Elephas maximus indicus: one gene and its partners. The protein of the gene in region 3 purifies or fractionates together with the protein of the main gene of each other region. This does not show direct contact. Links are inferred from orthologs where the notes say so. Each region holds a gene or a part of one and is shown on either strand. Other genes may lie near its edges. The genes, in order: CNOT2, LARP1, RC3H1 and YBX3.

Region 1 (7,894 bases), on a different chromosome or scaffold from region 3:
ATTTCTATCACCAAGGCCGTATTTTCCAGCTACCAGTCTGTCTGCTTTGGTTCTAACTTTCGCATTCCAATCACCAGTAATTATCAATACATCCTGATTGTGTGTTCGATCAATTTCAGGCTGCAGATGTTGGTAAAAATCTTCAATTTCTTCATCTTTGGCCTCAGTGGTTGGTGCCTAAATTTGAAAAATAGTCATATTAACTGGTCTTTTCTTGTAGGTGTATGGATATTATCCTGTCACTAACAGCGTTGTACTTCAGGATAGATCTTGAAATGTTCTTTTTGTGTGTGTGTGTGCTTTAAGTGATAGTTTATGATTCAAGTCAGTTTCTCATACAAAAACATATACACACATTTTTATGTGACCCTAGTTGCTCTCCCTGCAATGTCATAGCACATTCCTCCTCTCCACCCTGTATTTCCTGTGTCCCCTTCTGCCATCTCATCTTGCCTCAGGACAGGAGCTGCCTATTTAGTCTCATGTATCTACTTGAGCCAAGAAGCACACTCTTCACCATATCATTTTATATCTTATAGTCCAGTCTAATCTTTGTCTGAAGAGTTGGCTTCGGGAGTGGTTTTAGTTCTGGGCTACCGGAAGGTCTGGGGGCCATGTCTTCTAGGGTCCCTCTAGTCTCAGTCAGACCATCAAGTCTGGTCTTTTTACTAGAATTTGAGTTCCGCACTGCACTTTTCTCCTGCTCCTTCAGAGACTTGCTGTTGTGTTCCCTGTCACGGCAGTCATCGCTTGTAGCCGGCACTGTCTAGTTCTTCTGGTCTCAGGCTGATGGAGTCTCTGGTTTATGTGACCCTTTCTGTCTCTTGGGCTCATATTTTCCTTATGTCTTTGACGTTCTTCATTCTCCTTTGCTCCAGGTGGGTTGAGACCAGTCGTTGAATCTTAGATGGCTGCTTGCTTGGCTCACTACCTTTTTAGACCCCAGATGCCACTCACCAAAGTGAGATGCAGAATATTTTCTTAATAAATTTTGTTATGCCAGTTGGCCTAAATGTCCCCTGAAACCATGGTCCCCAGCTGCATGGTTCACCCCTGCTACTCTGTCCCTTGAAGTGTTTGATCGTAATCAAGAAACTTACTAGCTTTTGGTGTAATGTGGTTGTGCTGACTTCCCCTGTATTGTGTGTTGTCCTTCCCTTCACCAAAAATAATTCTTGTGTACTGTCTAGTTAGTGATTACCCCTCTCCCTCCCTCCCCACCCTCATAATGATCAAAGAATGTGTTACTGTTTAAACCTTTTCTTGAGTTCTTATAATAGTGGCTTCATACAGTATTTGTTCCTTTTGTGACTAATTTTAGTCAGCAAAATGTCTTCCAGATTCATGTATGTTTTGAGATGTTTCGAGGATTCACTGTTGTTCTTTATCATTGCATAGTATTCCATTGTGTGAATATACCATAATTTGTTTATCCATTTACCCGTTAATGGGCACCTACATTGTTTCCATCTTTTTGCTACTGTGAACAGTGTTGCAGTGAACATGGGTGTGCATGTTTCTATTGATGTGATGGCTCTTACTTCTCTAGGATATATTCCAAGGCATGGGATTGCTGGATCTTATGTTATTTCTGTTTCTGGCTTTTTAAGGAAGCACCACATTGATTTCCAACATGGTTGTACCATTTTACATTCCCACCATCGTGTGTAAGTGTTCCAGCCTCTCCACAGCCTCTCCAACATATATTATTTTGTGTTTTTTACATTAATGCTAGCCTTATTGGGGTGAGATGGAATCTCATTGTAGTTTTGATTTGCATTTCTCTAATGGCTAATGGGACACCCTGGTAGCATAGTGGTTAAGTGCTACAGCTGCTAACCAAAGGGTCAGCAGTTTGAATCTGCCAGGCGCTCCTTGGAAACTCTATGGGGCAGTTCTCTGTCCTATAGGGTCGCTATGAGTCGGAATCGACTCGATGGCACTGAGCTTGGTTTTTTTGTTTGGAATGGCTAATGATTGTGAGCATTTCCTCATGTATCTCTTAGCCACCTCGGTATCTTCTTTGGTGAAGTTCCTGTTCATATCCTTTGCCCATTTTTTAATTGGGTTATTTGTCTTTGTTGTTGAGGTTTTGCAGTATCTTGTAGATGTTAGACATTAGACACTGATCAGATTTGTCATAGCCAAAAATTTCCCAGGCTATAGGTTGTCTTTTTACTCTTTTGGTGAAGTCTTTGGATAAACGTTAAGTGTTTGATTTTTAGGAGCTCCCACTTATCTAGTTTCTCTTCTGGTGTTTGTGCATTGTTACTAATGTTTTGTATTCTGTTTTATGCCATGTATTAGGGCTCCTAGTGTTGCCCTATTTTTCTTCCATGATTTCTATCGTTTTAGATTTTATATTTAGGTCTGTGATCCATTTTGAGTTAGGTTTTGTGCATGGTGTGGGGTATGGGTCTTATTTCGTTTTTTTGCAGATGGATATCCAGTTATGCCAGCACCATTTGCTAAAGAGACTGTCTTTTCCCTGGTTAACAAACTTTGGGCCTTTTTTAAATACCAGCTGCTTGAAATGTTCACTTTGATGATGAATGCAATGCCATTCCTCTTCAAGTTGTGGTTCCAAGCACAGGAGACCGTATGATCATCTGATTAAAAATGGCCAACACCAGTCCATTTCAGTTGACCATTGGCTAGGATATCAGTGTTTATTCATTCCATTTCATTTTTGATGACTTCCAGTTTTCCTAGATCCATACTTTGTACATTCCACATTCTAATTATTAATGGATGTTTGCAGCTGTTTTCTTCTCAATTTGAGTCGTGCCACATCAGCAAATGAAGATCCTGAAAGCTTGGCTCCATCCACATCATTAAGGTCAACTCTACTTTGAGGAGGCAGCTCTTCCCCAGTCATACTTTGAGTGCCTTCCAACCTGAGGGGCACATCTTCCAGCAGTATATCAGACAGTGTTCCACTGCTATTCATAAGGTTTTCACTGGCTAAACCTTTTCAGAAGTAGACCGCCAGGCCTTTCTTTCTAACCTTAGTCTGGAAGCTCGCCTGAAACCTGTCTGCCATGGGTGACCCTGCTGGTATTTGAATACTAGTGGCATAGCTTCCAGAGTCACAGCAACATGCCAGCCCCCACAGTATGACAAACTGGCAGACACTTCTCATATGTACCAAGGAGTGATTAACTCAGAACATTTTTTAAATCATTTTATTCTGGTAAAAATACATGTAAACAAATATTTGCCTATTCAGCATTTTTATATGTACAATTCAGTGACATTGCTTAGGTTCATAACTTAGAGCATTGTGAAAACATTCGTCTGTGTTATCAAACCAGAAATTAGTTCATAAGGGCAAGGAAGTGTTTTTGTGGCTGTGATTCATTTACTAATCAGAAAAGGTTGATTGACATAGTTAGGGAATCTAAAAAACCTTTGAATTTTAAGGGTAAGAGCACAGTGTGTTTACTTCAGCTTACTCTAGAGTTCCATTGAAATTGGCCACATCTGGTAGTCTGTTCTAATTAATAGCCAGCCTGGTATATAAAATTCTCTATATCAAAAAAGAATGGTGACGCAGTGGTCGAAAGCTCGGCTGCTAACCCAAAGGTCAGCAGTTCGAATCCAGCAGGCACTCCTTGGAAACCCTATGGTGTAGTTCTACTCTGTCCTATAGGGTCACTATGAGTCAGAATTGACTTGATGGCAGTGGGTTTGCTTTTTTTTCGGAGTTTATTTCAGAAAAAGAAAACTCGTCCAGCTGGTTCAACAATCATAACTTGACCAAATTCCTCACGTTTTAGCTCAAAGTTGAGTATGGTAATGACTACCATGTTTTACTTATTTCAGATAGCGTTAAAAGAAAACCCATTGATGTCAAGTTGATTCCAACTCATACTGACCTGTAAGACAGTAGAACTAGGGTTTCCGAGGTGTAATCTTTACAAAAGCAGGCTGCCATATCTTTCTCCCATGGAGCAAGCCGTTGATCTTTTGGTTTAGCAGCAGAGTACTTAATCACTGTGCCACTGGGGCTCCTTTCAGATACCATTAAACCAAAACCAAACGAGTTGCTGTCAGGTCGGTTCCAACTCATAGTGACCCTATAAGACAGAGAAGAACTGCCGCATAGGGTTTCGAAGGAGCAACTGGTGAATTCACACTGCAGAAGTTTTGGTTAGCAGCTGAGCTCTTAACCACTGTGCCACGAGGGCAACCGTAAAATGTTGGGGTATTTTTTGTATACTATTGAATAGTGCAGTGGGAAGAAAAAAAGACAACATAGAAAAGGACATCTGTAATTGTCCACTTTCCTGTGAGCATTGCCTTGACACCGAACATTGAAAATAGACAATTTTGGAGTTGGATGTGTTTTCTAAATTCATTTGGATCAACCACCTTATTTTACACATTAGGAAACTAAGACTAGAAAGGAGAAATTGATCAAGCTAATACTTCAACTCAGACTTCCTGATTCTTGTTCCATTAGCATATTTTATTTGGTGACATGAAATTTAAAAGAATAAACTTTAATAAGTATTTCCCCTCTCCAATAAAGTATTTTCTAGAAATTTTACTCAAAATATATTGATTTCCTGTTTTGAGAAATTCTTTTTTTTAATTATTTTCTGAAAGAAGTTGGGGTTCAGTTAATATTCATTAATCCAAGTACTGTTTATTGCATGCAACATTTTTATTAGGCTCTGATTTAGAGAAACTTAGAGACATATAAGTTTGTTTCTTTCCATTAATTAACATTTGGTTTATGTATTTCTTTTAATTAGATTCTTGTTGGTCTTTTTAAAAAATATAAATTTAGATTTAGTGTCTCATTTTCTCACCTCTCCTTTGGAATCCATTTGGTTGATAATCTTCCTTTTCCTTTAACTATGATATTCTTCAAATGGTGTGTTTTGTTTTTTAATTAATAGACTGTTTTTTAGAGTGGTTTGTTTACAGAAAAATGGAATTGAAGGTAGAGTTCCTGTATACTTCTTCTTACCTTACCTACCATTTTTGCTGTTATTCACATCTGCGTTGGTGGGCTGTATTTGTTGCAGGTGATAACCAATATTGATACATTATTATTAAATAAGACATTATCTATGTTTTATTCATTATGCAAAGGCATTTGACTGTGTGGATCATAAAGAATTGTGGATAACATTATGAAGAATGGGAATTCCAGAACACTTAATTGTGCTCATGAGGAACCTGTACGTAGACCAAGAGGCACTCATTCAAACAGAACAGGGGATGCTCTGCGTGGTTTTAAATCAGGAAAGGTGCGTATGAGGGTTGTATCCTTTTATCATACTTATGTAATCTCTATGCTGAGCAAATAATCCCAGAATATGGACTATACAAAGAATGCTGTATCAGGATTGGAGGAAGAGTCATTAACCTGCGATATGCGGATGACGCAACCTTGCTTGCCGAAAACGAAGAGGACTCAAAACACTAACTGGTGAAGATCCAAGACTGCAGCCTTCAGTATGGATTACATGTCAACATAAAGAAAACAAAAATCCTCACAACTGGACCAATAGGCAAGATCATGATAAACAGAGAAAAGATTGAATCCTCAAAGATTTCCTTTCAAGTTCTCAAGGATTTCGTTTTACTTGGATCCACAATCATTGTCCCAGGAAGCAGAAGTCAAGAAATCAAACTATGCGTTGCAGTGGGCAGATCTGCTGCAAAAGACCTCTTTAAAGTGTTCAAAAGCAAAGATGTCACTTTGAGGACTGAGGTGTGACTGACCCAAGCCATTGTATTTTCGGTTGCCTCATGTGCACGTGAAAGATGGACAATGAATAAGGAAGACTGAAGAAGAATTGATTCCTTTAAATTATGGTGCTGGCAAAGATGATTGAATATATACCATGGACTACCAGAAGAACAATCTGTTTTGGAGGAAGTACAACCAGAATGCTCCTTAGAAGTCAGGTTGGCGAGACTTCGTCTCACGTACTTTGGACATACTATCAGGAGGAACCAGTCCCTGGAGAAAGGACATCATGCTTGATAAAGCAGAGGTCAGAAAAAAAGAGGAAGACCCTCAAGGAGATGGATTGACTCAGTGGCTGCAACAGTGCGCTCAAGCATAGCAAAGATTATGAGGCTGGTGCAGGATCAGACAGTGTTTCATTCTGTTGTACATGTGGTCATTATGAGTCAGAACTGACTTGAGGGCACTTATCAACAACAACAACATTATTAAAACCCATAGTTTACATTAAGGTTCACTCTTTGTGTTGAACAGTTCTGTGGGTTTTGACAAATGCATAATGCTATGTATCCACCATTACAGTATTATACAGAATAATTTCACTGCCCCAGAAATTCCCTGTGCTCCACCTATTCACTCTCCCCATCCGCTACCACTTTCTGAATTGGAGGCATCCACTGATCTTTTTATTGTCTCTGTATATTTTTGCCTTTTTTAGAATGTCATATAGTTGGAATTTTACAGTATGTAGCTTTTCATACTGGCTTGTTTCACTTAGCATTAAGCATTTAAGATTCCTTTTTCCTGACCAGGTTAGCTCATTTCTTTTTGTTGCTGAATAATACTCCGTTGTGTGGGTGTACCATAGTTTGTTTTACCATTCGATTATAGTAAAGCTGCTATAAACATTCTTGTGCAGTTTTGTGTGGACTTAAGTTTTCCGTTTATTTGGAAAAATACCTAAGAGCATGATTGCTGGATCATATGTTAAGTCTGTGTTTAGCATTATAAGAAACTACCCAAACTGTCTTTCAAAGTGACTGCCAACTTGCATTCCCACCATTGATAAATGGGAGTTTCTGCTGCTTCACATTCTCTCCAGCATTTGGTATTGTCAGTTTTGGGGTGGTGCAGTGGTTAACGTGCTCAGCTGCTAACTGAAAGTTTGGCACATTGAACCCTCCAGCAGCTCCACAGGAGAAAAATGTGGCAGTTTGCTGCTTTAAGGATTACAGCCTTGAAACCGTATGGGGAAGTTCTACTCTGTCCTATAGAATCACCATGAATTGGAATCGAGTGGACTGCATCTACTTTTGTTGCTTTTTTAAATAGATGTAGTGGCATCACATTTTTATTTTAAAGTACAATTCCTTAATGATACATGATTTGAATACTTTTTCTATGCTTTTTTGCCATCTGTGTATCTTCCTTGGTGAGGTGTCCACATCTTTTGCTCACTTTCTAATTGGCTTGTTTGTTTTCTTAATGTTCAGTTTTAAGACTTCTTTGCATATCTTGAATACAAGTCCTTAATCAGATACGTGTTTTGCCAACATTTTCTCCCAGTCTGTGACTTACCTTTTCATTCTCTTAGCAGTCTTTTGCAGAGCAGAAGTTTTTAATTTTAATGAAGTCCAATTTAGCTTCTTTTTTTCTTGCATTGTGCTTTTGGTATTGTATCTAAAAACTCATTGCTAAATTCAAGATCACTTAGATTTTCTCCTATGCTATCTTATAGAAATTTCATAGTTTCATATTTTACATTTAGGTCTGTGATCTAGATTCACTTTTTTGCACGTAGATGTCCAGTTGTTCCAGCATCATTTGTTCAAAAGACTCTTTATTGTACTGCCCCTGCTTTTTTGGCAAAGATCAGTTGACTATATTTGCATGAGTCTATTTCAGAGCTCTCTATTCTGTTCCACTGATTTGTATGTTTATTCCTTCACCAGTGTCTTCATCACTATAGCTTTATAGTAATTTTTGAAGTCTGATGGTGTCAATCCTCCAGCTCCGTTCTTCTTCTTATGTTGGTTTTTCTTGATCTTTTGCCTTTCCATATAAACTTTAGAACCATTTTGTCATTATCTGCACAATAACTTGCTGTGGTTTTGATTGGGATTGCATTTCATCTATAGGTCAAATTGGGAAGAATTGACATCTTAATAAGTCTCTGTATCCATGAAC
Region 2 (7,145 bases), on a different chromosome or scaffold from region 3:
ACCTTTTTCTGGCCTGAGGTCACATATTGCTTAATTACTTAAGTCCCCCCAGTTAGAGTTTACCTTTTAGAGAGACAGCATTCGACTTTTTAGTATCTTCCCCAGGCCTGAGTAGTTAATGACTTCATAAATACTTGTGGATGTGACAGTAGAGGGAAGGGAGGTAGTGTGGTGTTGTGGGTAAGAACAAGACCAGGGGAGTTAAACCGCCCTGGAAAAACCTTACTCCGATACTCAGCTGCTAGCTGTAACCAGGCACCCTTCTCACTTTCTTTTATGAACTTCAGTGGCCTTCCATTGTAACTGAAGATAATAACAGCTCCAGGGGCTGGCCTGGTGCCTGACACCTAGTAGAGGCTCAATAGATTAAAAAAAAAAAAAAAGATACTTTGCAATAATTAATGCCTATCTCATTAAGTATCTTAGTTTTTTAGTGCTGCTGTAATAGAAATACCACAAGTGGGTGGTTTTAATGAACAAAAATGTATTTTCTGGCAGTTTTAGAGGGTATAAGTCCAAATTCAGTGCACTGGATCTAGGGGAAGGCTCTCTTTCTGTTGTTCTGAGGGAACATCTTTGCCTCTTTCAGCTTCTGTTCCTTGATGATCTCCAAGTGGCATTTTCCTTTCCCCTTTTTGCCTGCTTGTGTCTACTCTGCTATTTTTATAACTCAGAAGTGATTACTTTTAGGACACACCCTACACTGATAGGGCCTTATTAACATAACAAAGAAAACCCTATTCCCAAACAGGATTACAAGCACAGTGGTCAGGATTCCAACACATATTTTTTTTTTAATTGTGCTTTAGGTGAAAGTTTACAGCTCAAGTTAGTTTCTCATACAAAAATGTATACATACATTGCTATGTGACCCTAGTTGCTATCTCTGTAATGTAACAGCACACTCCTCCTTTCCACCCCTGATTTCCTGTGTCCATTCAACCAGCTCCTATCTCTTTCTGCCTTCTCATCTCACCTCTGGACAGGAGCTACCCATTTAGTCTCATCCAACACGTATTTTTGAGGGGCACAATTTTATAACATTAGGTAACTGTGAGGATTAAATGAGATAATGAATATCAAGTATTTCTCACAGAACATGCCATATAGTAATTGTTCAATATAAGTCGTTAGTTGCCATCAAGTTTATTCTGATTCACGGCGACCACTTGCATTCCGAGAACTGTGTACGTCATAGGGTTTTCAAGGCTTTGACCTTTTGGAAGCAGATCACCAGGCCTTACTTCCAAGGCACCTATGGGTGTCTTTGAATAACCAAGTTGTCAGCTGGTAATGCAGTGCTTACCCATTTGTTAACACTCTTAATTATTTGGTCATTATTAATATTTAGAAATGAATGCACTCATGGAATGACATAATGGGCCAGGAATCAAATCACCTGAATTCAAACCCCAATTCCATCATTTTGTGTAGAACAGCTCCGTGACTTAGGATCAAGAGATTTGGGTGTAAGGCCTGGCTCTGCCACTGACTAGCTGTGTGAGCTTGGATAAGTAGCTTCATTTCTCTGAACTTCAGTCTCCTCAACTGCAAAACAAAGACATTAAGCAATCATTAAGACTCCTCCTCTAACAGCCTCTAAATTCAAGATGTAGTCTCATGTAGGTATCTTGCCTTTTCTGGGCCCAGTTTGCCCATCTGTAAAATGGCGCATCGGTGTTTAAGGGCCCCTCTCTGGGGCAAGCCTGGGGGTGTATGGATCTCTGTGCCCTTCCAGTCTCTACATAACAGGGTCTGGCAGTGCTTGTTTGGCTCCAACTCTGACTGCTGGGTAGCATGAACCAGTTACTTGTCCACACAGAGACCTGGCCCCCTTACAAGTTGTTTGGGGGCCATCCATGACCAACTACAGAAATGTTGGAAGAAAGAGCCAACAACGATGACTATGTTCCTTTTTACAAAGTTCAGAGAGGTTTTGAGTGAATAATTTTTTTCAGGAAATATTTATCAATAAATAAGGGTAGGGAAACTCTGGTGGAGTAGTGGTTAAGTGCTACGGCTGCTAACCAAAAGGAAGGCAGTTCAAATCCACCAGGCCTCCTTGGAAACTCTATGGGGCAGTTCTACTCTGTCCTATAGGGTCGCTATGAGTTGGAATCGACTCGATGGCACTGGGTTTGTTTTTTTTTTTTGTTTATTAAGGGTAGACTATGAGTCGGAATCGACTTGACAGCAGTGGGTGGTGGAAGGATTAAGGGTAGATATAACACAATTTTGAAGAATGTGCTTAGATTGTGATCCCTTTAATCCTTACCTTCCTTGGTACCTCTTTTTGAAGCATTTCATTTGCTTCCTCAAAAAAGCCCACAGGGTGAGAACAAATCAGGCATTATGTATTACAATTTTTACGCCAGGAAAGGGGGCTCCAGGCAAATGTACAGAGCAAGTGAAGGCAGGTGCTAAGTTATGGGAGAGCTTGGCTATCCCCACCAGCACTTCTCCCCAGTACTCCTGGTTACAATGTACAACCGAGACTTCCCAGGTGGAGCAGTTACAAGAGTCTTCTCTGATAAATCCTCTCCCCTGTCCAGCAGGTCATGTGTTCTTATTTTGGAGATCAACATTCCTGGCTTTTATGTCTTAAGTAGGTAGATCTCAGCTCTGTTAAACCTGGACCACCCTCAGAATGCACAGGACACAACTTCTCCAAGTGAGGCATGGGACCACCTGGTGTAGAAGTTCTAAGGGTATTATGTTAGACAAACAGATTTCTGGGTTCAATTCCAGACCATGCCTGATTTTTCTAAACACTTTGGAACCTGTGTTCAGGGAGGTGTTCCCTCATCAAACTAGAAGGACAAATCTGTTCTAGCCTATTACTACAGTTTATGCATTAATTCTACACAGGAACTTGTTTATCATTTTTGTCTTTCCCCACGTTTAGAATGTAAATTGCTCCATGAGGCCAGGGACCTTGTTAGCCTGGTTTATTACCAAACCCTGTTTCCTAGCACTGTAGAGACACCCAGAGCACGGAGTGAATAAATATTAACTGAATTGAATATACACTAAAGCATGAAACCACTGTCATAGACCATTTCTTCATTTTACAATAGGGAAACTGAGGCCTACGGTGGGGGAAACTGACTGGCAGAGTTCATAAGAGGCAAGACCAGGACAAAATTTCAATCCCTAGAGTCTCGAATCGGCACTAGTTCAACTCCTCCCAAAGCAACTATGTAGAAACCACAATCCACTAGAAAGAAAAGCTGTTTCCTGCTCACAAATACTCAGAGGCTTGACTGGAGTGAGGACCTTGGTAATTCCACTCCCACATCCTAGGCACCCGAAGCGCCCAAGGGCAAGGGCCCGCCTGCCGGGCCTGGAGTCGAACCCGGTCCCCCGGCAACGTCCGGGTCAGCCTGGAGGGGAGAAACCCAGCGCAGCCGGTGGAGTTGAAAGCGGTTTGCCCAAGGTCACCCATGCGGGGCCTGGAAAGGCCAGGATAGAGGGATGCGGAGAGGGGGCGGTGTAGGCGCGACTTTTGGGAGGATGCGGACCCTCTACCAGCATCCTGGGAGGCGGGGGTGACTTTTATGGCTCCTTCCCCCGAATCTGACACCCAACCTAAAGAACGAGAGCAGGCCGAGCCGGCCGCGTGGCCCATTCGCATGTGCTCCACCTGCGGCCTCTCTCACGCGCTGGCCCTTTAAGAGTCCTCCGTGTTCTCTCCCCCGTCTCTCCTACCCCCCCTGGATGCGCCCCCCTCTACCGAATTGCATCAGGCACGTGCTCGCCCCCGTCCTGTCTGAGCGCCCCCACCCCAGCCAGGGAGGTGCACGGAGGACTTGGAGGCGAGGGGCGGGGCAGGACGAGGGGCGGGGACGCGAGGCCGTTCGCGCGCGCGCTCCCGTCGCCTCCGCCGGCCCGTCGCCAAGGGCTGGCCTCGGCGGGCGCGCTCCCGCTGCGTTGTCCCCTCCCCTCGCCCGCCGCGCCGCGAGGCGCGCGCCCGCCCGCCGCCTGCCGCGGATCGCGTGGTCTGCTTGGCTCGCCGCGCCTCTCCCCCGTCCGTCCATATTGCTGCAGCCCCCGAGCCGGGAAGCCCGGGCCGCCCCGGGGGCGGGGGGGAGGGAGGGACGGGACGAGAAGCCCGCTGAGCTTGGGGTGGGGGCGCCTTACGAGGAACGGGCGGGGGGGGGACGTGCGCCGAGGCGGCCTGGACCGCAGAGTGGGGGGCACTCCTTCCCCCACCCCCCCCGCCCCGCCAGCGGGCCTTGGATCTACGGCGGCCGCATCCGACCGGAAGGGGGGGCCGCGCCTAGCGTGAACCCCGACCCTTTTCTGCAGGGACTGGGGCCCAGCGCCCCGGAGGAAGGAGTCGCGGGCGTTCTGCGAGCCAAGTTCGAGGCGGGGGAGGCAGCCTCGGGCGCGCCCGGCTTCTCCGGGGGGGCGGGCGCGCAGATGGCCACTCAGGTGGAGCCGCTGTTGCCGGGGGGCGCCCAGCTCTTGCAGGCCGAAGAGCACGGGGGGCTGGTGAGGAAGAAGCTGCCGCCGCCGCCCGAGGGCAAGGGCGAGCCTGGCGCCAACGACGTCGGAGTGGGGGAGCCGGACGGAGGCACCCGGAGACCCCGGCCGCCCTGCGCCAAGCCGTACAAGGAGGGCACCGGGCAGCAGGAGCGCGAGAATCTGCGGCCGCTGCAGCCGCTAGGCGCCGAAGGCCCGGCCGTCAGCGACGGGGAGGAGGGCGGCGGCGGCGAGCCGGGCGCTGGCGGAGGAGCAACCGGAGCCGCGGGCGGCGGCGGACGGCGAGACTTCGTGGAGGCCCCCCCGCCCAAGGTGAACCCGTGGACTAAGAACGCGCTGCCGCAGGCCCTGGCCACGGTGAACGGACAGTCCCCTCCAGGTGGGTCTCCCAGCCTGCTATTCTGGGTCCGGGGGCCTCTTCCGGGGACATTGGCGTCCCCTCCCCCAGCGGTTTCCAGGGCCCGGGGGTCCGCCACGAGTCGTGGTGCCTCGTTTTTTTTTATTTGAATTGTCTCACGCCTCGTTCGGGTCGTGGTGCCCTGCTCCCGCCGCACACTCGGGAACCTGTTCCTGCCTGAGGCCCGGCCTCCCGGAGGCCACGGACACCGCCTGGGCCGCAGCGGTTAGTGGGCAACGGCGTGGTCCGGGCCTACCTCACCGGGAGAGGGTGGGCGCTGGCTTCGGTGAAAATGGCCCTGTTTTCCCCATCGCATGTTGGTGTAAAAGGCGGTTTCTGGTTTAAACCTCCCTTACTCGGGAAGCCCCCTCTTCTCACTCCGCCCCACGCTCCCCGTTTTGGTAGCGTTGCAATAGTCCCCATGTTGTAAATGTTTAATGAGCATATGTCATGGGCAGCAAAGCACTCAGCGATGAGTTCACACCGAGTATAGGGATTCGAGATTTAAAAGTTAACAAGTTTTGTTTTCGAGTAGATGATAGTAGGCGGTAGAACCGCCATTTGGAGACGGGTTGAGGGGTCAGTTACAGGGAGAATGGGGCGACGAGGAAACCCAACGTGTCACTGACTTCGGTAGTTTCCCTCTCGGATCCCAGGGGCCTTCCGCCTTGAGAGGGAGCCGATGGCAAATGCGGGGGGATCCGTTTAGGGGGTTGGCGGAAAATGTGAGACGAGTGAGGGGCACGCGGCGACACGAGGGGCTTGCGGCGGCGGGGGAGGGAGTGGCCGGGCTGGGCGGGCGGGTGACAGTTGGGCGCCATGCGCCTCGCCCGCGACTCGCGGGCTGCTTGCGGCCGCACGGCCTCTGCGTTCCGCGCGGGTCGTCGCGCTCCGGGTGACTGGCGGGTGCGGGCCGCCGGCGCGGCGCGTCCTGTAGTGTGCGTGTGCGCGAGTGTAAGTGCGCGTCTCCCCCTTCCCGGCATTCCTCCGCAGCCGGGACAACGTGGTGCCTCCCCGCGCGGGGAGCGGCATGTGACCGGCGGCCGGCGCTCCCGGAGCTGGGGCCCCGAAGCTGGGGCCCCGGGCGCACCCCGAGTCTATCCTTCCACCTCCCTTTTATTTTTTTCTTTTTGGACACTGTCCTTTCAGAGGAGTGTGCAGGAAATCCCAGCAGAGCCTCGTCAGCGTGAGGAGAGAAGCGGTGCAGAATATGGAGCTTGCTTTTGGCCTCCTTTTACCGGGAATAGATCTTCAGCTTGAATGGGGCGCACTTCCCGTCCCCGCTTTGCTGGGACTCGGGGGGCACAGTGGGCCTCGATTCTTTAATTCTGGGCCCTTTTGATGTGGGCCAGTGTTAATACCTTGTTTGCAGTTAGAATGATGGCCTGTGGCCTTAGCCCTAGTGTTCTTTCAAAACTCCGTTTCAGAGTGCTGGCTGAGGCAGTATGGTTTAGAAGATCAAAACGGGGAAAGTTGAAGGGGGAGCTTTATGCCTTCATATCAAAGGGAGTAAGATCACTCCTTTAGTCTTAGGGAAATTATGATAACCAAACCTGAAAATGGCATGTTGCAATTTTTATTTTTTTCAAGGTTGCTTCATTTAGGGGAGGGGACATTTAGGGTTTACTAATAATGCCTCAAACCATGTTCTCTTCCTTTTGCCCTCCTCCTCTTCCCCCATGCCCCTTCTAGAACCCTCTTATGCAAAGGGCAGTGCTGAAACCTCCATTTTCTTACAAATCCTTCCCTGATCCACCCACAGAGGGAGGGAGAGCAACTTTAAGACACTCTTTGGTCCCTCCCCGCGCCCCCCCCCCCACCTTAAACTCAAAGGGGTATAATCATCCCCAGGAGAGAGAGCACTCTTCAGAAGTTTAAATTGGGCTTCTCACCTCGGGCTGCTGCTTAGCTAATGGTGAATCTGCCTTGTGGCTTTTAAATCAGCCGTGATATAAGGTGGTATTGAGTGCCTGAGCTGGCATTTTGTGTAAGTCCAGGGGCCCTTGATAGGTCACTGGGATTATTGATTGTGGGAAGAAGACAACTTGGTTGGCATCTTGCTTTCCCCTCTGAGTGGAAGAGCAGACTTGTTTGAAGTACCCAGAGCACAGTTCTGAGTGGGGTAGATTTGCCGTGTTCTTGTCTTCCTGGAACTTTAAGGCAAGAGTGTTGATCTTGTACCTTTGGGGTAGTGTTTGACAGATTAACTCCAAATTAATCCAGTAGCCTCTCTGTTTTAAGCCTGTTGTTAGGGCTTGGGTGC
Region 3 (7,798 bases):
TAATAACAAATACAATTATTATAAAACATAGTTCAAGGTCAAAACAAGTAACCGGTCAACATAGTAGATGCCTCAAAGTTTAATGCTGAGACATACAGTGACAGCAGCAAAGCATCTAATTTGTGTCACAAGACAGGGTTTGAGTAAGCTCTTTTACCTATTAATTATGTGGCCTTCTGGCTAATTATTTAGCTTCTCCTAGCTTCAACTTCTTCATATGTAAGTGAGCACAATACTACAATGTTAGAGCATAACTAGGAGGATTAAATGAGATGCTGCCTTTATTCAACAAATAAGCTTTGAAAAACTGTAATTTTTATTATTATGTACAAAACCCCCCTTCCAATCTCTTCAGATGAATCATACTTTAACTTTTAATACTACCAAAATGTAAATCTGGTTCTTAAGCTATGGTCCCAAAACTTCTTAGAAGCAATTTTGGAAATATTATTTGAGAAAATCTGAACTGAAGTAATCAAAATAAACACTGACACGCAAGATACGACTTTATTTTCTTTGAGGGATCACATCTTAAAAATAATTTTGACACAAAATAATTAAAAACAATTCCCTAAGAGATTTTTCAATATTAAACAGAAACAGAGAAACTGAACGTCCAATTTCAGACATAAAATCTTAACATAAGAAATCTTTGTTTTCTGGAAAATGAGGTAAATTAGTCCTTGGTATAACATTATACTTTTGCAAAACAAAGTACACTAATCACTTATAATTCACAAACTCCTAAATTACTGCAATTGTTCTAATTGGATTAAGGCCACAGACAAATTTAGTATCATCACAATGTAGACTTTACTTGTACTCTGTGCTGACCTAAGAAAAATTCAGCATGAAAAAAATAAGTCACAGACTTGAACACTTGTTAAAAAAGTATTCTTTCTGAAACACTTCCCCGAATTTTATATTAGTGAGAACCATGTGAAAGTTGTTCTTTCCTCACCACTCAAAAAAAAAAAAAAAAATCAAAACACCCACAACATTATTTATGCTAGGCATAAAATGAAAGCCATTATTGAAATTCATCCCACTCTATGTGAAATCCTAAACAATAGTTCAGCCTCTAAGTTTATTAAGCCATCTATTTACTGCCAATTCTTATGGCAGGCATATTCCAGGAACTAAAATAGGGCTGCTGTTTATAAACTTCATATAAGCTGAAAATGCTTTTAGATATGACAGATACAAACCAAATTATAAATTTACCCTAAACACGGGTGAAAGATATTAATTGGCATCCTCTCTACACAGATCTTCCTTCGTGAACCAAAGCCCTCAAATGGACTGTGCAACTGAACGTTAACTAGCGGAAAGCAATCTTCTTTGATGCATCCAACCAATTTTAACGTAAATTTCTGCACACCCGGGTAGAAACTAAAATAGAAATAACCTTAATCTCTCCCCCCCCCACTTGGAAATGTGGTAGATGCCCTAAAAAATTAAGTTTAGGGGAAACAGCAGTTAACTGTTGACATTTCAGACATCACTACTGTATAAATAAGGCAATTACAATGAAGAGCTGTGGCCTGATAAGCCTAAATATTCGAGAGAACTTAGTTTCTAGTTTTTGAAAATTATAAGAAAGTTTTGAAATCTTACAAAATGCGCTTTTTAGAAGTCAAAATTTCAAACTTAGAGAAAAAGACTGATAGGACAAATCACTGAAGACAAAATTAAAGCATAAGGCAGAGCAATAGAAGCCCGGAGCTGAAGCACTAGTCTCCTGAAGGAGAACTTCATTAGGTCCATTTTATGTTAATGTTTCCTATGCTGGACATTACTAATTCAAGACGGCTCATTTGAAAGGGGGGGGAAAAAAGTTCTATTCAAACACTACAATTTGTCTTTCCGTTGCCAGTAACTGGCTTTGTTTCCAGTTCCATGGACTATTCTGGGATGTCAACAGTTATATTACTACTCTCACCGGGGACGTGGGATTAAGGGATGTTTAGAGAGAACCGATGCTTAAGAGATGTTTTGAGAGGACCATCCCTCACCACGCCATCCCTTACCGATAATTACTGTTTACACTGTTTACCTTGTGTTTTTGTTGCTGTACTTAGATTTTTTAAAAAGACACCTGCACACACGATTTCCCCACCGCCACCAGAGAGGAAGAAGACCGTCAGTCTCGATCTCTAGGAGCTCCAGGGAAACAAACACCGCAAAACCCACTTGGCCAAGGAGGGGAGCGCTTAAGGGGTCGGGGAGGGAGCAGCCCTGAGATGGAGGGAGGCGGAGGCGGCGCCTGTTTACAGGCGCCTTGACTCCCCCCCACCCCCTCCAAGAAAAGGGGGCCCAAAAATCATTTCCTGTGCGCACTCCCTTCCCAGTCTGGGCCCTCGGAGTAACCGAAGAGTGGGGGAGCCTGTGAGCCCCCTTCCTCTCGCCAAAGCCTCTCTCGCCCTCCCCTCGGCCAGGGCGGCGCCCGCACCTCCCCACGGCCTACCCAGCGGGGCAGGCCCTCCGGGCGGCACGCGGAGGCCTGAGGCCTAAAGGACGCCGGCCACTGAGGAGACCCTCGGAGCTGGCGGAGCCCTGCGGGGCCCGGGGCCGGCCGAGCGGCCAGTGCCGCCGCCGAGCAGAGAGTGCGCGATGAGAGCCCCTTCCCCGCCGCGGCTGCCTATTGTTCCCGACCGAGGCCCGGGCTCCGGCCGCCCCGCTCCCTCCGTCGCCGCGGCCGCCCGCCCGCTTGCTCGCTCACCGCGCTGGTCCGAGCAGCAGCTCCTCTCAGCTCCGAGTCCCCGCGGCCGTCGCCACCGGCGCGGCAGCCGCAGCAGCTGCCGCTGCCACCGTCGACTCTGACTCTGCCCCAGGCCGCCGGGCCACGGCCGCCGCCGCCACCGCCAGCGTCGCCTCCGGCCCCCCACCTGCTGCTGCTGAGGCTGCTCCTGCAGCAGGGGCCATCTTGTTAGTCTGCCTCTTCTTCCTCCTCCTCCACCCCGTGGCTCGTTGTCCTCGTCCCCTTCCTCTTCCTCAGGCTCCCTCCCGCCCCGGAGACGGGCGGAGACAAGGGCGAGGCTCCTCCTCCGGGGGGCGGGGCAAGGGGCGGGGCGGGGCGAGCACGGGGAGGAAACCTCTGAGTCACCCGCCACCAACGCTGGGAAGGGAGGCGGGCGACGCTCGCTGTCGCTAACCGCAGTGCACAAACGCCGAGAGTTGAAGAACTGGTCCAGCCGTCCGCCTTGCCCTCCCCTCCACGGGCACTTTTGGGCCTAGTGGGCAAGTGCCCAGACGGCAGGGGTGGAATTGGAAGATTTTTGACGTTTTTATCGAATCCTGCACAACCTCTGCCCTTTTGACTTTCTCAGCTGTTGTCTCTCTACTTTTTTCTTTCTCACATCTTCCCCCCAATTTTTTTCTTCTTTTATTCTATCCGGGTTTTCCATCACACCAGCTTTGCCCGAGTCACCCCGCCCACAGTATTCAGTCCCCTAAAGGCGCTGAAACAGCCCAGAAGCCCAGACACTTCTCCAAAACGTCTCCTCAGGCCTCTGTGAACAGAAGGGGCTATCTGGGGAGAACAAAAAGATTTAGCACATAGAAGAGCTGTGGGATCTAAAGCTAGCCTTGTGACTATTGGAAGTTTCTTTTCAGATAAAAGATGTTATTTTAGCATCTCGATTTTTCAGGTCTTGGTCAAGAGAGCAGAGATTTTATTTTTCTGTCGTTTCTTCACTGTGTACATGGCCAAAAACAAGAAAAGTGCTATATTTAGCGAAGCTTCTGCCTTTAACCTGATAAATTCAGTCATATAACACAGATAGTGTTTTTTATATTATTTATAAAACGTGGATCACACACCTCCCTAAAACTCTTAAAAAAAAAAAACTAGGGAAGAATTCTTTTTAGTTGTTGACGCCCTCCTGCTACTCAGATTTCAGCTTCTTTTTAGAAAACCTATTGATGTCTTTCTTATTGATTGGAATTCACTCCCTTTGAAGTAGGCTAAATCTATAACCGCTTCAACCTATTAAATAGTAACCCCTGCCCTACAAACAGGCAAACTTCTAGCTACCACAGTGGAATTAGATTAGCACGTGTTTTCTTTTCTCTCTTGGTTAGCCTTTCCCTCCTCAAACAGCCAGGCCACTGCCCCCTGCTAGGAAAAACAGATTAATCTGTTTCTCCTGCTTTTTCTCCTCCTGCCTTCTTCTCACTCCTAGGGAACCTTCCACAACAGAAGGTTATAACGGCTGTTGCTAGGCAAACATGCCAACTTCCCTGTTCAGACAAGCAAGTAACCTAATTTCCATTATAAGCAACCCAGATAATGTAATTTCTTTGAACTATTAATAGTTGTACCACAGTTGGTAAGACCTCTTCAAAGTTCCCTTATAAAATATGATTTTAAGTTGAATTTATTATTTTTGGTTATTTCATCAATATTTCAATTAAAAAATAAGTTAAAAATGGAGGGGGCTTCCCAAAGCTCATTTTCATGATATAATTCAACAAAAAGATTTGGAAGAAAAAGAAGAAATGCTGCTTTGAAGGAAATATTAAGTGTTTGTAATAAAAATTTATGAGAAGGCGTATGTTTTGAACTTCCCAGTTAGGCTAGAAGTATGAGACACATTAAAGAATAATTTGTTCCTTGAGTTTGAGTCTATTTAGAAAAATATAATGTGGTTAAATGGCAAGAAAAAAAAAGATTCTGGATTTTAACAAATTAACAACTCAGCATAAAAATTTTGGCTAATGAATTAAGCTCTCCCTCCTCCCCCCATTTTGCTATTTACTTTTTTAAAAATTGTTATAGTAACATTTTGCAGGGAGTTGAGATTTGCTGAAAGTTAATATAAATAAAACTAACCCTGAAACCCGTTGCCATCAAGTTGATTCTGACTCATAGTGACTCTATTTTGGTTTTAAAACTAAATAAGACATGTTGAAAATTCAAATAGGATTTGTATACTTAAGCTTCTAAACTCTCTCTCAAAATTGTATAATTTGTTTTAACCCAGTGAAATTCGTATTAATGTAGTGAAATGAATAGTACTTGAGGAGCACCTTAAGCTGAGATGACACATTAAGAATGAGTTACAAAAGACAAAGAGCTTAACTATGTTTTACAGTCATTTCTGCTTGGAAATCACTGTTTTGTAACTCACACAATTTGAACAGTTTAGTTTTATTTCACATTTTATTATCAATCCTGTTGTGCAATGACTAGAGATTTAGACTCTGCGTCAGCCTCCACCACTGATGCACTATGAGTCATTTTATATAAAGCACACAGTAAGTATTCAATAAATGTTTACTGAAAATTCATTTTAAGGATATGTCATTATAGTCTTTACTTTCTTGATCAGTCAACTAAGGATGACAAGCCATCAAATATATTTTTGCTCTTCACATTAACCCTAAAAAAAAGATGAATGCTATTTTTTAGATCACACATGAATTAGTTAAAATCATACCTGATGAATTTTTCAATATAGTTTGTGATATGCCTGTACTACACTGTCCCTTGAAAACCCTGGTTGCATAGCAGTTAAGTGCTACAGCTGCAAACCAAAAGGTCAGCAGTTTGAATCCACCAGGTGCTTCCTGGAAACTCCATGGGACAGTTCTACTCAGTCATGTAGGGTCATTATGAGTAAGAATCGACTCGAAGGCAATGGGTATATTGTCCCTCCTTCGATTTTTTTTTTTTTTTTTAGAATAACGTGATACCTTTTTAAGCTACTACATGATTTTCAGTTGTCTAGAATATGTAATTGTCAGCCAAAAGCACCATTTACTGAACTGTTGTTAGTTGCGGTTGAGCTGATTCCAACTCATGGTGACCCCATGCATGCAGAGTAGAACTGCTCCATAGGGTTTTCATGGCTGTGTTCTTTTGGAAGAAGATCGCCAGGCCTGTCTTCTGAGGCACCTCTGGGTGGGTTTGTACTGTCAACCTTTCGGCTAAGAGTTGAGCGCTTAAATGTTTGTGCCACCCACAGACCCCTATTTCTCATATTAACCACTAAAAAAATCCACTGCCGTGGAATTGATTCCGATTCATAGCGACCCTATAGGACAGAGTAGAACTGCCCCGTAGAGTTTCCAAGGAGCACCTGGCAGATTAGAACTGCCAACCTTTTGGCTAGCAGCCGTAGCACCTAACCACTACACCATCAGGGTTTCCACATCTCATATTAGGGCTAGAAAATACTTTAGATACCAACCCACTTATTTCAATAGATAAAACTGAGACTAAGAAAACTCATTGCCATCAAGTTAATTCCAACTCATAGTGGTCCTATGGGACAGAATAGAACTGCCCCATAGAGTTTCCAAAGAGCAGCTAGTGGATTTGAACTGCCAACCCTTCTGTTAGCAGCCAAGCTGTTAAACACAGCGCCACCAAGACGCTGAGACTAAGAAAAGTTAGATAAATAACATCTACCTATAGGGTGACTACGAGTCAGAATCGACTTGATGGCAGTGAGTTTTTTTCTTAACTCCTTGTTTATAGATAAGACCCTGTTACTGAGGAGGGATTTGAGGGGGTGGGGCAAAGTTGGAAGCAAGAAATACAAAGATGAATAAGGCATGTGTCCCTGCTTGAAACAAATTTAACAATCTATAGGAGAAATACGAGAAGAAATGCCTGTAAATTACTGGAGCATAAAGTAGCTTGATGCATAGAAAATACAAAGCTTTATGAGAGTTAAAAGGAAGAGATAGTGGGAATCTTCATTCTAATGTCACAGAACCTTCCTTTTGACAGGTGGAAATACTATGATGTTAGATGTGTACTCCAAAACCAAAACCAAACCTGTTGCCGCCGAGTTGATTCCAACTCATAGCGAACCTATAGTCAGAGGCATAGGAATGCAATCAGTTCTCAATTCAGGGCAGTTTTGGGGAGAAAATTACACTCTCAAACACACACATGTACAAAATAGGGAGTGCTGAAGCTAAGGCATTTGGATTTCCTGAACTACTTTAAATAAAGTAGAGGTGGAGGGGTCAGGAGGCCTTACTAGTTTAGTCCTCTCCATCCTCCTCAGCCTTTCCTCCTGCTACACGTAGATTCTCCTTGACCTTCTACTCCTTTCCCGAGTCCATACCATTACAACCCTTCTATTACCAGTGTTGATTAAAATAAAAAAGAAACAGAGAAACGTGTCCTAAGTACTTGCATTAAGAAAATTCAAGGGAACCAATAGTGTCTGGCCTGTCGTTGTTAGATGCCATTGAGTTAATTTTTGATTCATAGTGACCCCATGTGACAGAGTAGAACTGCCTCGTAGGGTTTTCTTGGCTGTAATCTTTAAAACTAAAACTAAAATCCTTATGGAAGCAGGTTGCCAGGTCTTTCTCCCCCTTCTCCCATGGACCAGCAAGTTCAAATCATCAACCTTGGGGTTAGCAGCCAAGTGCTTAACCACTTAACCCTTTGTACCACCAGGGATCCTTATTGTCTTACTCCTCACCCAATCCCAAACCAGGCCCAAGTCAGCATCCGCCAACTAAGTTTGCCTTAGATTCAAGGTAACAATCCAAAGTAATCATGGGAGATATAGCACAAATCAGTTTTGGGATTTCTGGAGTTAGATCCCTGTGGACTTTTTTCCAAAAGAGCTAAATTAAATATTTGAGTCCTACCCGAAATTGCTTCTAAAATGGCCTGCCTTTCAAAAAGATCTCCCGCCCAACATTGAGCATGTCTGAACTTCAGCTCACCCCCTGAGACTTAGGTCTTCCCTTTAGGGAAGACATACTAGACAACTTTCAGTAAAGAGGCTCATTTTATGCACGGCTCTAACAGCATTTTAAAAATTTA
Region 4 (7,566 bases), on a different chromosome or scaffold from region 3:
ACAAAAGGAAACACTGCCCAGTCCTGCACCATCCTCGTGATTGTTGTTATGCTTGAGCCCATTGTTGCAGCCACTGTGTCAATCCATCTTGTTGAGGGTCTTCCTCTTTTTCACTGACCTACTTTACCAAACATAATATCCTTCTCCAGGGACTGATCCCTCCCGATAACGTGTCCAAAGCATGTGAGATGAAGTCTTGCCATCCTCACTTCTAAGGAGCATTCCGGCTGTACTTCCTCCAAAACAGATTGTGGCTACTAGAAAATTTAAATCCACATATGTGGGTCACATTTGGGGCTCAAATTATATTTCAATTTGACAGTGATGGTCTAAATTATAAGCTCCTTGAATACAGGACCCATTCCTGTCTGGTTTTGCATGATATCCTTAGCACCCAATGTGAATGATCAACATTGTATTGAGTGCATTATTAGTGAATACCAAACAGAGTATAATAATCATGGTATCCTCTTCTCTGAACACTGCTGGAGACACCCTGAAAAACCTTTACTCTCTTATCCCTCTACTTTTTTATTGCAAGTTGACCATTCCCTTCTGTGTTGCTTTATCATCAATTAGGTTTAGATTAATATTTCATTGTTTTACAGTTTCAGATATGCTAATACATCAATGCTTCATTGCTTTAACTCTAGTCCCTTTAAAAGGTGATACGCTGGATAATCTCTTGTCAACTCGGCATCATCGTTAGACTCTTCAAAGTCAGGAACTACATTTCAGAATCTCCTTCCTTGTATGGTCCCAGGATACAATCTGCCAAATAGAAACACTTGCTCAAGATTTAGAAGACAGAGAGGAGGAGATCATTACTTTACAAAGTCAGTTACAGAAAGATGCATGGGCAGATGGAGGGAGGTTCAAAGCTATTTCCAGATAAACGTCTTGAGGAACATCCATATCTGTGCTGCCAGCTGAGATAGCTGGAGCAGGGGTGGATTTGCCTTGAAATGAATGAAGTTTAAGTTTCAGGCCTTCTCTTTGCATGGGTCCTAAAACTCTGGCAGTGGCCCCAACAATTTTATACTCATGATTTTATATTTATTTCTTAAAGGAGGCTTTCTAAATTGTGTAAGCTTTAGGTCTTACAAAACCTGGATCTAAGCATGAATAATTGGGAGTTTCCCAGAAACCCTGTGATTCCAGTGGCTTTACGAGAATTCTTGAGAACCATCAGTTTTGCTGCTAGAGTCTGAGATCTTCAGTAGAGCCTCTCTGACTTTCCTTCCCTCAAGCTAGGCAAACAGTTGTGGAAGCTCTAACCCGCCTCATACTTGGAACAGAGTAGCTTTTGTTTTCATGACCAAACCAGTCATCGCTAAAAAATGATTGCTGTCAACAACTAGATTATGATTCTTTTTTATTCCACTTAATCCCAAATTTAAGAAATGATATTTTCTTTCAATAGAAATGATGACAGTGGGGGGGGAAAAAAGACTAACATTAACATCAAAAATATCTTAGAGCAAGTTCCACCTTGATCAACATTGGCTACTCTAGCACTTTGGCACATAACCAAAAATTCAAACCCACCGGTGTCGTCACCTCTGACTCATAGTGACCCTATAGGACAGAGTAGAACTGTCTTATAGGATTCCAAGAAGTGGCTGATGGATTTGAACTATTGATCTTTGGGTTAACAGTTGAGCTCTTAAACACTACACCACCAGGGCTCCTTTGGTACATTTAATAAATATATGCTAATGAGTGCATGAATTAATGGCTGAGTGAAAGAATGGACAAAATTCTGTGTATCTGTGTCCAAGCCGATCTCTAGTTATGAGTATTATAATAACATAGATCATGTTTGTTCCAATTAATTCTCTCTAGATGTATGTAGCATGGTATCAAGAACTTCCAGCTGCTCACTGCTTTTTTTGTGTGCGTGTGAAAATGATGATAGTTATGGAAGCAACATCATGACAAATGGAGAAAAGATTGAAGTTGTCAAGGATTTCATTTTACTTGGATCCACAATCAACAGCCATGGAAGCAGCAGTCAAGAAATCAAAAGATGCATTGCATTGGGCAAACCTGCTGCAAAGGACCTCCACAAAGTGTTGAAAAGCAAGATGTCACCTTGAAGACTAGGGAGTGCCTGACCCCAACCATGGATTTTCAGTGGCATCGTATGCATGTGAAAGCTGGACAATGAATAAGAAAGACCAAAGAAGAATTGACGCCTTTGAATTGTGGTGTTGGCGAAGAATATTGAGTATACTATGGACTGCCAAAAGAACGAACAAATCTGTCTTGGAAGAAGTACAACCAGTATGCTCCTTAGAAGCAAGGATGGCGAGAGACTGTGTCTTACATACTTTGGACATGTTGTCAGGAGGGATCAATCCCTGGAGAAGGACATCATGCTTGGCATAGTACAGGGTCAGCAGAAAAGAGGAAGCCCCTCAGTGAGGTGGATTGACACAGTGGCTGCAACAATGGGCTCAAGCATAACAACAATTGCATTGATGGCGCAGAACCAGGCAGTGTTTCATTCTGTTGTGCATAGGGTCACTATGAGTCGGAACTGACTGGATGGCACCTAACAACAACAATGGAAGTCATTCGAGCACATACGCTAGGAAATCTCAGGGTGCATGGTTCTGTAATTATTTTAGGGTCTTCCAGAGATTGGAGACCTCACCTGTTAGTTATATTTTCCAAGAGTGAATATATATATTAAAACATGCTTCACTAGTGGATATGATTTGAAAAATTCAACTCCCCTTATTTTTTTTTCTCATGCAATCAAATTCTGCATGGTAAATAGCAATGATAACCACATTGTTGGATGAGAAAGCCAATAGTCAGTCTTTACCAGAAAAAAATCATGCATATTATTTAATTTTAATTATGACCATAATCCTTATTATTAGCATTAGACCAGCAGTTTCTTTTCTTTTTTTTTAAGCATTCTTATATGTATTATGTTACTTTATGCTCCACATTGGAGCCCTGGTGGTGCTGTGGTTAAGAGCTCAGCAGTTTGAATCTACCAGCTGCTCCTTGGAACCCTAGGAGGTAGTTCTACTCTGTCCTATAGGGCTGCTATGAGTCAGAATCAACTCAATGGTGCTTAACAACAAGAACATGCTCTATATTAAAGTACAACTAAAATAAGAATCTAATCCTAAGGAGTTTGGAAAATATGGATTAATTACACGGAAAAACTAAAAATTCCATATTTTGATAATTTTTTCTAAGAAATTATTTTCTTTAATTTGGATTTTTCATGGATGGAATAAGAAAGTAAGAAGATAGGGTAATTTCATAGTGATTGATAATGAATGTGTAGATAAATGAGTTTGGAAGATTTTGATAATTTTTTATTCACTCTGTTCTAGCTCTCTGCGAGGTACTGTGCTAGCCAGTGGGGATACAAAGATGAATTAGACTAGACTGCTACTCTCCTGAAGTTGGGCAGGCAGCCAGATGAACAAATAAATTTGAGGAAAAACACGTAAATGCTTCAGGAGGAACAGGGAATTAAAAAAAAAAAAAAAAAAAGAGCTAATTGAGAACTTTTCTGGACCAGACACTGGATAATCTCATTTGCTTTTCACAGTACCTCATCTCATAAAGGAGGAAACCGACTCTGAAATACTGAATACTGGCCAAGTTAATCCCCTTAATACAGAGCAACGCCAGAATTTATACCTAGGTTGGTCTTAACACTAGCGGCAGAGAACACCAACCAGTAGTCTAGTCCAGGTAGTCTTTGTATTCAAATCACACTCCCTCTGGCCCGGCCCTGTGTTTAGCACAATCCAGACCATTTTCTACAGGCCACGTGAGCTCTTTATACTGGGTTTATTACGTGTTATGTTTCTCTAAACCTTCATCCCTGAGGTTAAGCGGGAGCAGTTGCCTAAATTTTCACCAGGTGGTAGGCACCAGGGTAAATTGGAGAAGGTAAGATGCGGATTGACAATTTTTTTCCCCAAATACATTATTAAATACATATTAACAGTTCATCATTTGTTTATGTTAAATTGGTGGAAGCCCTGATACTTACGTTCTTTCTCTAAAATCTGAACTTGAGTTTTCTCACCTGTGGGCTATGGATTAAATTATCTGCAAATAACCTTCCAGGCACAAACTGCAAAATAGATTTTATTATTCCACTTCCCACAAATAGCTCCTGGTGCTTGATGAATGCTGAACAAATAAATGTAGAGAACTTAACAGGAGTGTTTGAGAGTGAAGCGCAGCGTAATTTGGAACTCCTATTTTACCTCTTACGAGTCCGTTTCAGGTGTCAAAGTGTAGTGAGGGAGAGACCAACTTTGCTCCGCTCCAGCAAAGGGACAGCAGAGCTTGTTCCTCAGGAAATTCGGATCGCATCTATAAATTTCATACTCACTCTCGCTATCCTTTGCTCTCCAACTTGGCCCCTGAGGGTGGGTTGGCGAGTTGGGAAGGGCACCATGCGCCTTTAAATGCTAATGAGAGTCAATGCCCAACTCAGGAGCCAAGTTTCCCCACCCTCTTCCCTCGCCCGCCCTTCCCTCCCAGCCTGGTGCACCGCCTAGAAAAACTTCTGCGGGGCCATTTTTGGGGCAGTAAGATCGAGCGAGGAGCCCAAGAGCGAGGGCGCAGCCCGAGAGCTCGAGCCGCCTCCGCCGCGAGACCCCACCTCGGCCGCCGCCGCCTGCGCCGCGAGATACCCACCGGCCTCACGGAGAACGAGCCCCGGCCGCCGCGACCACCAGCCGCACTAACCGCCGACCAACCGCCACCGAGGTGCCCGAGTGAGAGCAGAGGAGGCGGCATGAGCGAGGCGGGCGAGGCCACCACCACCACCAACCTCCCGCAGGCTCCAGCGGAGGCGGCCGCCGCGGCCCCCCAGGACCCCGCGCCCAAGAGCCCGGCGGGCAGCGGCGCGCCCCAGGCCGCGGCCCCGGCGCCCGCCGCCCTCGTCGCGGGAAACCCCGGTGGGGACGCGGCCCCCGCAGCCGCGGGCACCGCGGCACCCGCCTCTTCAGCCACCGCCGGCAGCGAAGACGCGGAGAAAAAAGTTCTCGGTGAGTCAGGCCGGGGAGGGTAAGGACTGCTCGCGGCAGGGCGGGCGAGCGGCTGGCTGCCAACCACGTGTGCGCAGCTCCCGCCGCCTTTCCCACTCAGGCGGTAGAGGCTGACAATCCGGGGTCCCCCGGGACCCTGGGTCCCCAGCGCCGGTGGCCACTGTCCTCCCGCTCTGCAGGCGCTCCCAGGTAAGAGCGCCGCGCCCTGCGCCGCTCGCCGTCCTGTGCGCGTCCCCTGTGGTCTTGGGCCAGTAAGTTATGGGCTTAATGTCTGTCATCCGAGCAGATACTGTCTCAGATTCCTGTAGTAGAGAATGTCCCGGTCCGAAGAGAAAAGAAGAGCAGCGGTAGGGATGCCTGTGGATGCAGGGGAGGGACAGACACGTGGACTGGGATTTAGGGGTCTAGGATTTAGGAGTCTTTGCTTGGGATCTGGGGAAGGAAAGGACTTCCTTTGGGGAGGAGTGAGGCGCTGGAAGGAGACGGAGGGAAAAGTGAAAAGACTTTTTGCTGGGAAGGCTCAGGTGTCAGTCCCTGACGCCCTTCCCGCATGGGCACAGGAAAGACGCATGGGCACAGGAAAGACGCCATACTCATGTCGGCCACATGCCGACAAAGAGGTGTTGCAATCCTCCCCGGGAAACTTGAGTGTTGGTCCCATGCCCTCCTCCCTTTCTCTGTGCCCTCTGCTGCGAAGAGCCATTAAATGTGTCCACCAATCGCTACACGTGTTCCTCTTCCTGTACTGTGGGGACGCACGTGGTCGAGCAGCTGAAAAAATTTCCTCGGAAGTGTGGGCAGAACGTTCAAAACAGCATTACCTTGGGACTTAGTAAGGGAAACAGGAAGATGAGACGGTCAGGTTTGGGGCAGAGGATTAGGAGGGGTTTCAGTGGCGGTGGTTGTTTTTGCCGCGCATTTCAGCTTTATCTCCTCCGTTTCGTTATGCCTGTGTGAGGCCTTAAACAGGCTTGCAAAGCATGTAGGTGGTGACTAAGTTCACTCTCTTTCAAGCAGGAAAGTTAACAGGTGGGTGTAGGATGCTTCAGAGAAATTTTCAGTATTTTGGGTGGGCGAAGGAGCCCTGGTGGCGCTCTGGCGCTGACTGAAAGGTGGGCCAGCTTTAGGAATCCACCAGCCGCTTCTCAGGAAAAAGATATGGACGCCTTCTTCCTCGGTAAACATCATAGCCTTGGAAACCCATGGGGTAGTTCTGCTCTGTCCTCTATGGTCACTATGAGTCGGAATTAGAGCGACTCCATGGCAATAGGTATGGTTTTGGTTTTGGGTGGGATGTGTTTGTCAGATCTCTCTCAGCCTTGCCTGCAAATTAAGAAGAAAATTGAGGGAATAATGTGAAGAAAGTGTTACACGATTCCATGTTCCCAGCTTGAGAAGCCTATTTTTTCCAGTGCTTTTACTCAGGCACTGTCAAACAACACGCTAAATGTAACCTGGGTAGATTAAGAAAACAAAATAGCCCTCTTTGTGCGGTGTTAAAGTTGCCTACATTTAGTCAATATTGTATTGTGGTATTGTTTCCAGCAAGAATTTCTTGGAATACTTCCATGCAAAATGTCACAGAGAGACAACCTTGGGTTGTTCAAAGCAATGTTAAGATATATTTCTGAATGATGCACCTCATTTTTGTATGTATAAAAGAACTTTTGCTGTTTTTCACTTGATCCTTGTTCCCTTCTGAGATAGGGGATGAAGGTATCTTTAAAGATGGAGAAAACAGGTAAAGTTAATTTCCTCAGTCACCAACCAGTACTAAGCCTCTACCAGATGTGGCCCTGGGATCTTTGGTCTTTTCATTATAACTCCAACTCTCTCAAAATGGACAACCTTGTACATGACCCTTGCACAGTTTGTCTCTGTCCAGTGTGTTCTGCCCCCACCTTTCCTTTGTCAAGCAAACACTTGCATCCCTAAGAGGTGCTAGGCATAATCCTGACTGAAATGGAAGTCTGTTCTTGGCTTCCCCCATTCTAGTTTTTACTAATGGGCCTTCACTTACAGTGAATATCACTTAGGTCAGAGAAAATTGTTCACATGAGTAAAACAAAACATCCGTTCTAATGAACATTAAAACCAATTGCTATTGAGTTGATTCTAATTCATGGCAACCCCATGTGTGTCACAGTAGAAATGTGCCTCACAGGGTTTTCAGCAGCAGATTTTTTGGAAGTAGATTGCTAGGCCTTTCTTCTGAGGTGCCTCTGGGCGTAGTCACACCTCTAAACTTTCAATTAGCAGCGGAGTGGGTTAACCATCTGCACTACCCAGGAACTCCTCTGATGAACATTATGGAAGCTTTCTGGTCTTTCCCAGCCCCTCTCCCTTTGTGTATGTGGGTTGGATTTATGGTTTTAAAGAAGCAATAAGTGTGAGTGAATGTACTTGGCCAATGAAGCCCTCGGAAATATTTATGGAATTAGGATTTTTTTTTCTTAATAATCATCCTGATTGAAGTTAGAGTTGAAAATCATTTCTCATCTTCTCCCCCCCCCCCAGTTATTTAGTG

Evidence for each region.
Region 1: the proteins of RC3H1 (region 3) and CNOT2 purify together in Homo sapiens (affinity purification with mass spectrometry, with the first as the bait; 3 studies listed by BioGRID). This does not show direct contact. The link is inferred for Elephas maximus indicus from reciprocal best matches to the Homo sapiens genes RC3H1 and CNOT2.
Region 2: the proteins of RC3H1 (region 3) and LARP1 purify together in Homo sapiens (affinity purification with mass spectrometry, with the first as the bait; 3 studies listed by BioGRID). This does not show direct contact. The link is inferred for Elephas maximus indicus from reciprocal best matches to the Homo sapiens genes RC3H1 and LARP1.
Region 4: the proteins of RC3H1 (region 3) and YBX3 purify together in Homo sapiens (affinity purification with mass spectrometry, with the first as the bait; 3 studies listed by BioGRID). This does not show direct contact. The link is inferred for Elephas maximus indicus from reciprocal best matches to the Homo sapiens genes RC3H1 and YBX3.

The regions. Positions count from the first base shown.
Region 1 is NC_064822.1:131,515,344-131,523,237, forward strand, and holds the start of CNOT2 (CCR4-NOT transcription complex subunit 2), read left to right. Parts: upstream 1-4,891; 5' UTR 4,892-5,151; coding exon 5,152-5,261; intron 5,262-7,894. UniProt on the Homo sapiens protein: Component of the CCR4-NOT complex which is one of the major cellular mRNA deadenylases and is linked to various cellular processes including bulk mRNA degradation, miRNA-mediated repression, translational repression during translational initiation and general transcription regulation.
Region 2 is NC_064820.1:170,908,096-170,915,240, forward strand, and holds the start of LARP1 (la-related protein 1), read left to right. Parts: upstream 1-4,136; 5' UTR 4,137-4,422; coding exon 4,423-4,864; intron 4,865-7,145. UniProt on the Homo sapiens protein: RNA-binding protein that regulates the translation of specific target mRNA species downstream of the mTORC1 complex, in function of growth signals and nutrient availability.
Region 3 is NC_064842.1:36,575,126-36,582,923, forward strand, and holds the start of RC3H1 (roquin-1), read right to left. Parts: upstream 3,020-7,798; 5' UTR 2,723-3,019; intron 1-2,722. UniProt on the Homo sapiens protein: Post-transcriptional repressor of mRNAs containing a conserved stem loop motif, called constitutive decay element (CDE), which is often located in the 3'-UTR, as in HMGXB3, ICOS, IER3, NFKBID, NFKBIZ, PPP1R10, TNF, TNFRSF4 and in many more mRNAs.
Region 4 is NC_064822.1:69,463,484-69,471,049, reverse strand, and holds the start of YBX3 (Y-box-binding protein 3), read left to right. Parts: upstream 1-4,548; 5' UTR 4,549-4,786; coding exon 4,787-5,039; intron 5,040-7,566. UniProt on the Homo sapiens protein: Binds to the GM-CSF promoter. Seems to act as a repressor. Also binds to full-length mRNA and to short RNA sequences containing the consensus site 5'-UCCAUCA-3'. May have a role in translation repression.